Linked DNA regions of Coturnix japonica. The protein of the gene in region 1 interacts with the protein of each later gene in a pairwise test. Links are inferred from orthologs where the notes say so. Each region holds a gene or a part of one and is shown on either strand. Other genes may lie near its edges.

What was found.
Region 2: the proteins of UBE2K (region 1) and RNF185 interact in binary tests that used the Homo sapiens proteins (3 or more experiments, as listed by UniProt). The link is inferred for Coturnix japonica from reciprocal best matches to the Homo sapiens genes UBE2K and RNF185.
Region 3: the proteins of UBE2K (region 1) and RNF114 interact in binary tests that used the Homo sapiens proteins (3 or more experiments, as listed by UniProt). The link is inferred for Coturnix japonica from reciprocal best matches to the Homo sapiens genes UBE2K and RNF114.

What each region holds. Positions count from the first base shown.
Region 1 is NC_029519.1:62,495,563-62,499,309, reverse strand, and holds the start of UBE2K (ubiquitin-conjugating enzyme E2 K), read left to right. Parts: upstream 1-1,326; 5' UTR 1,327-1,333; coding exon 1,334-1,486; intron 1,487-3,747. UniProt on the Homo sapiens protein: Accepts ubiquitin from the E1 complex and catalyzes its covalent attachment to other proteins. In vitro, in the presence or in the absence of BRCA1-BARD1 E3 ubiquitin-protein ligase complex, catalyzes the synthesis of 'Lys-48'-linked polyubiquitin chains.
Region 2 is NC_029530.1:8,057,241-8,060,987, reverse strand, and holds the start of RNF185 (E3 ubiquitin-protein ligase RNF185), read left to right. Parts: upstream 1-1,255; 5' UTR 1,256-2,030; intron 2,031-2,362; exon of another isoform or gene 2,363-2,656; intron 2,657-3,747. UniProt on the Homo sapiens protein: E3 ubiquitin-protein ligase that regulates selective mitochondrial autophagy by mediating 'Lys-63'-linked polyubiquitination of BNIP1.
Region 3 is NC_029535.1:12,350,814-12,354,553, reverse strand, and holds the start of RNF114 (E3 ubiquitin-protein ligase RNF114), read left to right. Parts: upstream 1-844; 5' UTR 845-962; coding exon 963-1,093; intron 1,094-1,251; coding exon 1,252-1,402; intron 1,403-1,996; coding exon 1,997-2,103; intron 2,104-2,752; coding exon 2,753-2,867; intron 2,868-3,389; coding exon 3,390-3,497; intron 3,498-3,721; coding exon 3,722-3,740. UniProt on the Homo sapiens protein: E3 ubiquitin-protein ligase that promotes the ubiquitination of various substrates. In turn, participates in the regulation of many biological processes including cell cycle, apoptosis, osteoclastogenesis as well as innate or adaptive immunity.

The DNA.
Region 1 (3,747 bases):
TGCAGGTGCAGAGTAGGAGAGCAGGTGCCTGGGGAGGAGTTGGGCACATTTGGGAAGAACACAAGAGGGAGTTTGCTCTCATCTTCAAGTTCTCATCTTGGTACTGAAATAGGTGGGAGAACCAGAAACATTTAAAAGGGAGAAGCTGGATGGTATTTGACTTCTGTGCTTGGAAGCACCAAATTTCACTTTAAATATTGGTGAAGAGGTAATTCTGTGAAGTGTGCTATTCTTCCTGTAGATAAAGTTTAATACTGATATGCCTAAGTATCCTTAGTGCTTTCTGTTTCTGTGACATTGAATAGTATTTCTGGGAAATCACTACAACAGCCTTCAGCCTTGCCTTGCTTTCTGGTTTGCAGGTAGGAGCTGAGGGATTTGTGATGTAGGAGGGGAGGGGCTGACAAGGCTTTTAAAATCTTCTCACACTTCAATATTTTTTGCTTCTTTTTTTTTTTGGTAGCATTTCTGTCTTTTTTAATTGTTTTAATAAGGCCTTGCACGTTGATTTAAGGAATGGGGCGTTGTAGAGATCTTTGCAGCTTTGCACCTTTTGAGTTTATAAATGAGGTACGTGAGACTGACAACAGTTTCCCCATTGAGAGACAGAGGAATTGTCTTCAGAGTAGGAGGAGAGTTGAAATGTTCAGGTTGCTGATGTCCTGCGTATTCAACAAAAGTGAAGCTGCTCATGTAGGTAATAACCTGACTAGTGTAATATAGGTTGGAGGGTACCGTCTTGTTCCTCTATGAAAACTTAAAGTAGTAAACAGTGATTAACTCATGCACTGTTTTGAATCATAGTCTAGGCAAGTTGCACTCTTTCTTTCTTCTGTCATTTCATTAATTTATCTTGTTAGTTTCATGGGTTAGGCTAAATTAAATTCCAAAGTAGCAAAACATGTTCTGAATGAAAGTGTGAAGCTGCAGCTTGATGGAGAAACTAACAATTGGTGGAGGGGGAATAACAGCCCAGTATCTTTCGCTTTGATGGCTGGGAAGAGGCTTTGGTGAAGGTTAGCTGATATTATTCCAGAACAGGGTTATTGGAGTGCTAGCCAGATTCTTACCATCTCTGTCTGTAAGCAGCTGTCTTATGAGGGGAAGGATCTGGTATTTAACAACGAGCGCTGAAAAACATTGTGTTCATTCATGGGCTGGTGCTGACAAGTGGTTTAGTTCATCAGGCACGTCAATGTGTAAATCTTTTTTCTTATTTTACTATAGTATCACATGTGCTTTAAGGAATGGTATTGTGCTGGCAGTGGAGTTGACCATCCAATATCTTCATCATGCAGGAATGTAAGGAGATTTCTGGCCGTCTCTCTGTGAAATGCTGTTAGGAGTGAAATTGCTTCTCTGTGGCATTGAGGATAACACTTCGGTAAACATGGCTTCCTTCTGGCAAGAAAAAAGTTGGTGGTTTTTCTACCACAGAATGTTCCTCTTCCCTGTATCAAAAGGCAGAGGTTTATCTGCATGGAAGGTAAACACAGATAGAGCTACAAATAAATTAAACTCGACTGTAGTTGCAGAATAGGAGTATCTGCAAGAGCAGATATGTGCAGTAGCAGTTAAAATTTGTAACGTGAGTCCCAAACAGTTTTCAAGTGGAAACAGTATGTTGATGGCAAAAATTGAGTTGCATCATTTCCAAGAAGGAAGTCGATATTTGTTCTGGAGTCTGCTATGTGATTTTGTGTTGTAAAAGAGAAGGGAAGAGTAACAATCGCGTGCCATACTGTGTTCCTCCCTAGACTTGCAGTGAGTAGCTGTGCTGTTTGTTTGCTGCTGGTGGTGTTGGGATGCTTGGCAGTTTGTAAGCTGCTAAGTGACATCTTGGTAACTGGAGAGCGGTGAACTGAGGTTCAGAAGAACTTTACTGTATTTGATTTGCTTATCACAGAATCACACAGAATCACAGAATGACCCGGGTTGGAAGGGACCTCAAGGATCATGTAGTTCCAAACCCCCCTGCCTGGCAGGGCCACCAAACATACACCTTTACTAGATCAGGTTGCCCAGGGCCCCGTCCAACCTGGTCTTGAACACCTCCAAGGACGGGGCATCCACAACCTCCCTGGGCAGCCTGTCCAGGGCCTAACCACTCTCCTAATGAAGAACTTCCCCCTAACATCCAACCTAAATCTTCCCTCTTTTAACTTTAAAACCATTACCCCTAGTCCTGCTATATCAGCCCTTTCGAAGAGTTTACTCCCCTCCTGGGAGTAAGTTCCCTTCAGGTACTGAAAGGCTGCAATGAGGTCACCCCGCAACCTTCTCTTCTCCAGGCTGAACAAACCCAACTCCCTCAGCCTGTCCTCATAGGGGAGGTGCTCCAGCCCCCTGATCATCTTCATCTTATACTTGAGCAGTCTTGGGTACTAGAAACTGAATTCACTAAAATGGAAGCTTTTACTAGTAATTGTGCTTCGGTGTCATTAGAAAGGCCTGATGGATACTGTGGATGTGTGGTGGTTTTTTTCTTACCATTTATTATGTAGGAGCAATGCAGATGTATAAAGATGAAATGTCTTCTATTATGACTCCTGAGTCAGCAACGTAATATTTAAACAATGCCAACTTTCTGCTCAGGCAGATATTTAAGTCTTGATTCATGAGAATTGGTCTATTGAGGTCAAGTGTAGGTTTAGTAAGTGCGGAGTGTGAGTGGAGCTAGAGTGGGCCTAGTTAATTAAAAAGAAGCGTAAAAATGAGAACTTCTACAATGAAGTTGTCGTGTTGGTACAAATCTTTGGTGTGCCTCTCAGAAACCTTGCATATGGCCTCAGACTTGGGGGGGAGGGAGGCAGCAGTGTGTCAAGTACAGGCTGCTTTGCAGAGGGCTGTGTGGAGACTGGAGAAATTAATGAACTGACAGGAGCTTTGTGAAGTTAACTGTTAAGTGCCAAGTCCTGAATCTGAGAAGTAACACTGTACATCAATACGTGTATGCTCTGGGGACTGACTGGAGACAAAGCAAGTTGGCAGAAAAAGACCTGTGGCAAAGAGGGCCAACTGCACACTGGGTTGTTTTTAGCATGAATGCAGAGAGGGGTGAGGAAGTGGTTCTTCACTTTCCCATGCACTTCTGAGACCATATCTGGAGTGCTGTGCCCTGTTCTGGGAAATCCATTAATACACCAAAGTGAGTCCAGTAGAATGCCATAAGGGAGATTAAGGGACGGGACTATGTGATGTGAGAGAGGGGCAGAAAGGTGGCCACTTAAACCCACCACAGGTACTTGACTCCAGAGGAGAATCAAACATTTCGGTGGCGCACAGGGGTAGGATGAGAAACAACAGGTAAAAGCTGGAACATGATAAATTATGACTGGAACCTGGGGAAAAAAAATGGCGTTACAGTTGTCTCATTGAACTGATTGAATGGAGAGACTGTGGATTCCCCATCCTTGATGATATTCAGAAACTCAGTGAGACAAGTTCTTGAGCAGCCTACTTTTGTTGGACCTGCTTTGAGCTGGAGGTAGGACTAGATGCCCACCAAATGTCTCTTCCTGCATCGTTTTTTTTGTCTCTAGTATAAGGTTCTTTTAAATTAGTGCTGTGGTTGTGTTTTCTTTTTTGTGAAAGAAAATGCCAGGGTCCCCACAACACCCTTCTCTCCAAATTGAAAGTGTATGGATTTGATGGGTTGACTGCTCAATGGATGAGGAACTGGTTGCAAGTTTGTACCCAGGGAGTGGTGGTCAGTGGCACAGTGTCTGGATAAGGATCAGTGACTAG
Region 2 (3,747 bases), on another chromosome or scaffold:
AACTAATCCACATTTGAGATGATAAGAGACAACTGCTAAGTAAAGCAAAGAACTCAACAGTTCAGTTCCTAACAATGAGTTAAACATTATTCAGCCATCTTCCTGGCAGCAATGGGATGATTTTCTCATTGAAACAGTCTGCAGAAGCAAAGAGATGATGGCAGGACATCCCCGCTCTGGTAGGAGCTTCTTGAATGCACTGCCACAATTCATGCAAATCTGTCCCAGAAGAAACATGTCGCTGAGCTGCACAGCTGGCAGCTTCTGAGACCAAGCCTGCAGAAATGCTGCAAGCTTACGTAGCTCAGCATCCCCCTTGGTACAAAGCACCTAATTCAGACATTGCTTTCCCACCCAATAAAGGATCAGGTTTTCAGTCACACTGGAATTATTTGCCCTTCTGCATACAACCCTCTATTTTTCAAGTAATCAGTTTTGTTGTATGTAACTATTAACGTTTTTCATGGCAGGGGCACGGGAGAATTAGGGCACAATGAGGCATTTCTGCTAACTTGAACTCGTGAAACTGCCAGCAGACATTTGTTTTCAATTACTTTTGCTTTACTGCTAGAGGGATGACAAATACACTTCCGAAATAACTGTATTCATTTATTAGAACTAAGCATCACTTCAGATCGCAATCACACCGATTCCAACGGCACAATAAGGCCTTGAGCAGCACAGCTCATGTGTTCCCTCAGCAGAACACGATCGATACCTGAGGCTGTGCCGAGCTGCCTGCGGCGGATCCTTCGGAACGGCACCTGCAAGGGAAGGGGCACGTCAGGAAGACGCGGCCATGCAGCGGCCATGCAGCAGCCGTGCAGCGCACAGAGCGGTCGCCGTCACCCCGCTCCCGCTCACCGCCCGCCCGCAGTTTCCCGCAGTCCCACGCCGCCTCCCGGTACCGCTCCGCCGCCCCGTCGCTGCTCTCCGAGTCCGAGCTGCTGTCCACACCACGGCCGGCCCTGGGCGCCGACATGTTGAAGCCACGCGCGTCGCGGGGCACGCCGGGCGCTGTAGTTCTCCCGCCGTGCCGCGGGGCATGCCGGGCGATGTAGTCCCGTACCACCGAGCCCCACGAGATGGCCGCGGCGGAACCGGAGCGATCGGAACGGGAGGAGAACGGCGGGAAGGGCGGGGAATGAACGGGAGGAGCGAGGAGACGGCACGGGGAACCGCCTCCACCCGCTGGTCCGAGGGCTGCGCTGGTGCAATACACCGAGTGCCCGGCAGTTGTGGCAGTGCTGCCGGGTCACCGTGTCCATACCGGCGGTACCGATGGATGAGCAGCTCAGCCCCGCACGGTTTTACACTGACACTAACTCCCAGCTGGCACGTCCGAACGTGCCGTGAGATCCGCGTGCTCCCAGCCCGTCTATGGCAGCGGACACGGCTCACACAGCGCCCTGCTCTAACAGAGGCTCCTCTCGCACTCATCACTGCGCTCCTCTCAGGGCGCTGGGCTCCAGGCTGGGGTTGTCCCGCTCCAAGTCTGTCCCAGCTCTGACAGCCCCGGGCCCGTCCTCTCCTCGTAGCTGTACACACAAATCCCTCCTCGAGGCTGTTCGCTCTGTCCCCGGAGCTGTTCCTGCTCACAGCACCGCACTCCGTTGCCTTTGTGTAACGTTCCCCGCTGTCACTTTCTCCCCCGCTCTCCCGGACACTCGCTGTCGCGGATGACGCGCAGTCCGCGCTCGTTCCAGTGGGAGGCATCGGGCCGCAGCCCCCGCAGCGCCTCGCGACGGACGGGCTGCGCTGAAAGCAGAGCGGGACGGCAGACGCGGCGCCCAGGCAGCGCTGCCCCGGCTCATCCGGCTGATCCGGCCGCTGTCCCGCGGTGCGGCAGGCAGCGCTCACTCACTCACAGCGCGGTGGCACAGACCGCTCGGTGCGGGCGGAACGCGGCCCCGCAGCGCGGAGCGGAGCGGCGGGGAGAGGCCGGTCCCTTCCGCCGGGCCGCGCTTCCGGGGCGATCAGGTGACGGCGGCCGCGAGCAGGGAGCGGCTCCGCGGATCCCGAGAGCGACGGTGAGCGCGGCCGGGGGGAACGGATCGGGTCCGGGTCCGGGTCCGGGTCCGGCTGAGGGGGTGGGGGACGGGGGGAGCCGAATCCGTGATTCGGTGGTGCCGGAACGAAAGGATCGGGCCGGGCCGTCACCGGGGCGACCCGGAAGGCCGAAGCCGTTTGCGGCCGTTCTGACCGAGCGGGACGGGGGAAGCCTCGGCAGCTTCGGGCCCCGGGCCGGTGTCGGCAGCGCGGGGTGGGCCCGGCCCGGGTTGCGCTCCGCCGGGCCCGCGGTGCCGCCCTCCCGCCTGACCTCCGGCCCCGCCGCCCTGCCGGGCCTGCAGCCGCCTGCCGGCACTCGGCGGCGGAGCTGGAGGCGCCCCGACCCTCCCGCACCGTCCGGAGCGCTCCGGGCAGCGCTGGGTGCGGGCAGGGCCGCCGAGCAGCCGCTGTGCGCCGGCTCCTGTTCGCTGCTGCTCCGCACTCGCCGAACCGCGGCCCTATGCCTGTTTCTCCCGTCGCGTTGCCAACAGCTTACAGAACTGTAATGTTTTACATAACAGCAGGCCAGGAGAACGCTCAGCTCCTGTTACCCAATTGGTTCTATCGCTGTGCTTTCTTTTTTTAATTTTCCCCTTTAGACTTAGAGGTAAGAAAATCATTGTTTCAACATTACTACATTTTCTCAGAATCTATATCACATTTCTATGGAACAAATGATAAAAGACAATTCCGTAGCCGCATTTCTGCTGGTTGTCAGACCATGGCACATTGGGCACATTGGGCACATTGGGCACATTGGTGAGGTGCACTGGTGAGGTGTGTTGGCTCTTTCCAGCTGCCCACAGAGCTGTTCATGAGGGCTGCACCCAGCAGTGCCTGTAACGCAGCCCTGTGTTGCGGAATCCCAATTAACAAAATGAGGCCAAGCGAGGGCACGCTGCTCTGCTGGTAAATGGATGCTTTGAGCAGAGAGATGAGCACACAGCTTTGGATCCTGGGGCTTTATGGTGAGACTAAAAAGCAGCTGCGTGGTGCTGCCTGGGTTATGGTAAGTGAAAAGATGGACTTAGAGGAAATGTTCCAAAAGGGTTAAAATATGTAAGTGGGACAGAGTAAAAATGTAACAAGATATAAAGTGCCTTTAATGATTAACAGTCACGTATCTGCTCACATCTACCTTAAAACAACTGTCGAGAAGTACACGTACCTTTTTCTGGACGCTGCCAACAATTATCAGCTCTGATCATCTGCGGCTTTTACTTGAAGTCCAGACAGCTGGAATAGGTTAAGAACAGACTTCTGTTAAACCTGCGTGTGACAAGTATTTATATAAACTGTCAGTATTTTTCATAGGGTTTCTGATGCTGATTTTCCTTTTCTACAACAGAGGTATCCAAAAAAATGACGTTATCATTTCGGTCATAGGAAAAACTGACACGTTTTCCTTTCCATTGAAACAGCAGGAAGCTGAGAAACTAAATCGGCTTGTTTCAGAAATGAATGAGGGCTGGATTGTTTCAGAAGTCCCAGAGAAAATAGGATTAATTAGCAAAGAAGGATGGAAAAGTGTCCTTCTGGTGGAATTCCAGTCTAACAATGCACTGTTTCATTGTTATGTGTTAGATGCTGGGAAAAGAAACAAGTTTCAAGTTTTATCAGTAAACCAACCAGTCACTGGATTTTTTTTCCCCTCACTGCTCAAGAAATAAGATTAAAAATGAAATACTTAAAGCACTT
Region 3 (3,740 bases), on another chromosome or scaffold:
TTATACATAGCACTGCCCGCCACCGCCACCGCCACGGGGCACTGCCCAGCGCCACCACCACGGGGCACTGCCCAGCACCACCACGGGGCACTGCCCAGCACCACCACCACGGGGCACTGCCCAGCACCACCACCACGGGGCACTGCCCAGCACCGCCACCACGGGGCACTGCCCAGCACCGCCACCACGGGGCACTGCCCAGCACCGCCACCACGGGGCACTGCCCAGCACCATCACTGCCCACCCGCCGGACACGCGCTGCCCTCAGCACACCGGAGCGCTCAGCTCCTTCTCCCGGCTGCCAGCCCCCCCAGCCGGACATCGCGGCAGCTGCACAAAGCGGAGCCGCCCGCAGCCCCAGGCCGCTCCGTCAGCAGCTCAGCGCTGTGCACCCCCCGCCCCGCACCCCCCGGCCCGGCGCTATGGTTGTGCAGCTCCTCGTCCTACCGCTGCCGGTCCCGGCCCCGCACCTTCCCACACGCTCCGCTCCGCCGTCGCTCAGCCGGAAGCAACCGGTGACCCGGATGCGGAGAGACGCCCCCCCCGCCAGCAGCCTGCACCGCCGGAACGACACACGGCGCCAGGGGATTTACCGGCGGAGGCGCGAGCAGCTCCGGCCGCACGACAGGACAGGGCAGGGCAGGGCAGGGCAGGGCAGGGCAGGGCAGGGCCCGCACGGCTCCTCGCACGGCTCACGCTCGCACGGGCTGACGGTGCGAGCAGCACCGGGCAGCTGACAGCGGCGCCCCGGAAGTAGATAGCCTCCTATCTGGAGTAGTACTTCCGGTGCGTGACGTCAGAAGGGCCGAGGGCGGGGTGTCACGTGGCCGCTCCCCGTAGCTCCGGTCACACCCCCGGCCCGGCCGCGTCCCGGTGCCGCTCCGCCCCGTGGGGTCCGGCCCGGCGTGCGGTGGGTGCAGCTGCGGCTGCGTTGGAGCCGCTTCCTGGTTGGCGGCGGGAAGATGGCGATGGCGAGCGGCGGGGACGGCGGGATGCGCAACCCCGAGCCCTGGGCGGACCTGATGGCGCGGCTCACCTGCCCCGTGTGCCTCGAGGTGTTCGACAGCCCCGTCAGGGCGCCCTGCGGACACGTGTGAGCGGGACGGGACGGGACGGGACGGGATGGAGGCCGCGAGGGGCACTCTGGGCGCACGGGGAACGCGGGGAGCGCCGGGCGGTGCCCGCTGTGCTCACGGTGCTCACAGTGTCCGCTGTGCCCGCTGTGCTCACGGTGCCCTTGTCCCGGCGCAGGTTCTGCACGCCGTGCCTGCAGCAGTGCCTGAAGCCGAAGAAGCCGCTGTGCGGTGTGTGCCGCGGCGCGCTGAGCGCGGGCAGCAGGGCGCTGGACCTGGAGCAGCTCATAGAGAGCACCGAGACCAGCTGCAGCGGCTGCGGCAAGAAGGTGGGAGCCCAGCGAGGAGCCGGGAGGGCCGGGCTGGGTGCGGTGTGGGACGCGCTGTCCGCGCTCCGCAGGGATGTGGGTCCTCCTCCGTTTCCTATGGATGCTGCAGAGCTTCCCGACCCGCTCGGTTCGGTGCCCGCTGCTGAGGTGTCACGTCGATTCCTCTATTCCTGCATAGTGCTGCTTTCATTGTTGCGCTGATAGAAAGATGTAGTTCCTCGATCGCCACTTGTTAAGTCCCGCAAATGAAAGTTCAAATTAACAATAAGGAAATCTGAATTTAAACCTATGCCACAGTAAGTGTAGAAAGCTGAATTATTTCCTGTGTCATCTCTTCTCAGTAACAAAATAAGCTGACTTCCTATAAGAATATTTCCTGATTCTGGAGTATAAGATAAGGAAAGTATGTGGAACGGTGTTGTATTTCTCAAATGTTACAGGCAGCAGTTATACATTAACTGATTTATAATCTCAGAGCTTTCCAGCTCACCAGATGAAATGTGCGTTTCTTCCTGTTTTAGCACTACCTGCACAAAGCTTTGTGTGTGTCCTGCTGCAAACAGTTTAAGTGCTGTGTGATTGTTGTCTATGCAGATGTTCCTCTCAAAGATGCGCAGCCATGCAGCCTCCTGTGCAAAGTACCAGAATTACATAATGGAAGGTGTGAAGGCTGTAACTAAAGAACCACTTCACAATGCCAGGTAAGTAGCTCTTCTCTGGAAGTACTCATCTTTAGGATCACAAAAAGAGAAAGTGAAAGCAGACTTTCCCTCTTTCCTTAGTTTGTGTTTATTAGCATTTGATGCTGTTAAAAATAAGCCATAATCCTGCAACTGACTGCACATAATCAAACTATTCTCCTCCGTGCAGTCTTTGCACAAGACAGGACTGGAGTACTTGATAAAAGTAGCTCCCTATTTAATAATAGCTGTCTTTCTGTCTCTTGATTGTAGTAACTTATAATGAAGGGAATGTGGAGCTGACTGCATTGCTCTTATTTGCATTTGAGCGTTCTGGGTGATAGGTACACTGTGCGCTTAGAACATGAAAAATATAAGATGATAAATGGCATTTATAACGTTTTTTGAAGAAATACCTTTGTGTAAAAGTTTACGATGTGAAGATTTCTGTAAGATGTTGTTAAGAATTTAAAAGATGATTCTTTAAATTTGCCTGTCATGATTGCATGGAATAAGATCATTGTTTTGAATAATTTTTATTCTTAGTCGCTATTAAGATAACTTCCAAGTAGCAAATTCAAAGTCTTTTAAGCTATTCTAATTTTTGTGTGTGTGTGCTTTTAGCTTTACTAATATGACAACGTATTTCATCTTTTTCCCCCTCAACCAGGAACTTCCCAAATCGCTTTACCTTTCCTTGTCCGTACTGCAGTGAGAAAAACTTTGATCAAGAAGGACTAGTTGAACACTGCAAAACATTGCACAGCATGGATGCAAGACAAGTGGTAATAAAAAGTCTCAGTGCAAGAATTGCAATGAAGTCTAGTCTTAAATCCCCTTGAAACAATGAATTAGACACTTAGTGCTTAAAGTTAATTACAAATTTATACTTGCTTCTGTTAATGTACAATTACATCCACTTCACATTCACCTCATATTTGGAAAATGGTAGGCATTCAAAGTACATTAGGTAGTCCAGGAAACTTCTTTGTTTTTGATTAATGAAGTTTGAGATCTTCTGAAGTAGACAACAGTGACTGATTCTCATCTCCTCATCTCCAATATGTAGAGAGAAGAATAAACCATTCTCATTCAGAGGCGTAAGAAATCAATTTAAATAAAAGCCTCTGTTAAACCTGAATGTTGAGTGGCCCAGCAAAGTATTTGATGTCACTTTGCTTAGAGAATAGTAATCGTTACGAATCTCAGGCTTTAGTGTTCCACACTCCCTCTCTTCTGCCCTTCATAGTATAAATGTTGAACACACTTAACTGTTGGGGCCTAACTGACTTAATTTTTTCTTCAAGGTTTGCCCAATTTGTGCCTCAATGCCATGGGGAGATCCAAATTACAGGAGTGCTAACTTCATGGAGCACCTTCAGAGGCGACACCGGTTTTCATATGATACTTTTGTGGTATGTATTTTCTCACCCTTGGAGTACATGAGCTTGATGGCTCTTAAAACACAGCTTTTTACACAGTCACTGCTATGTAATCTAATTTATGAAGAGGGTATCATGAGAGAAATTGGATTATTGGTAAGTTAGAAAATGAGGCAGCTGTTTTCTGTTTTTATTTTGTGTTACATTAATCACCATGGCTGTTGCAGTAAAAGAATTTCTGTACTTTTTGTTCATAGGATTATGATGCTGATGAAG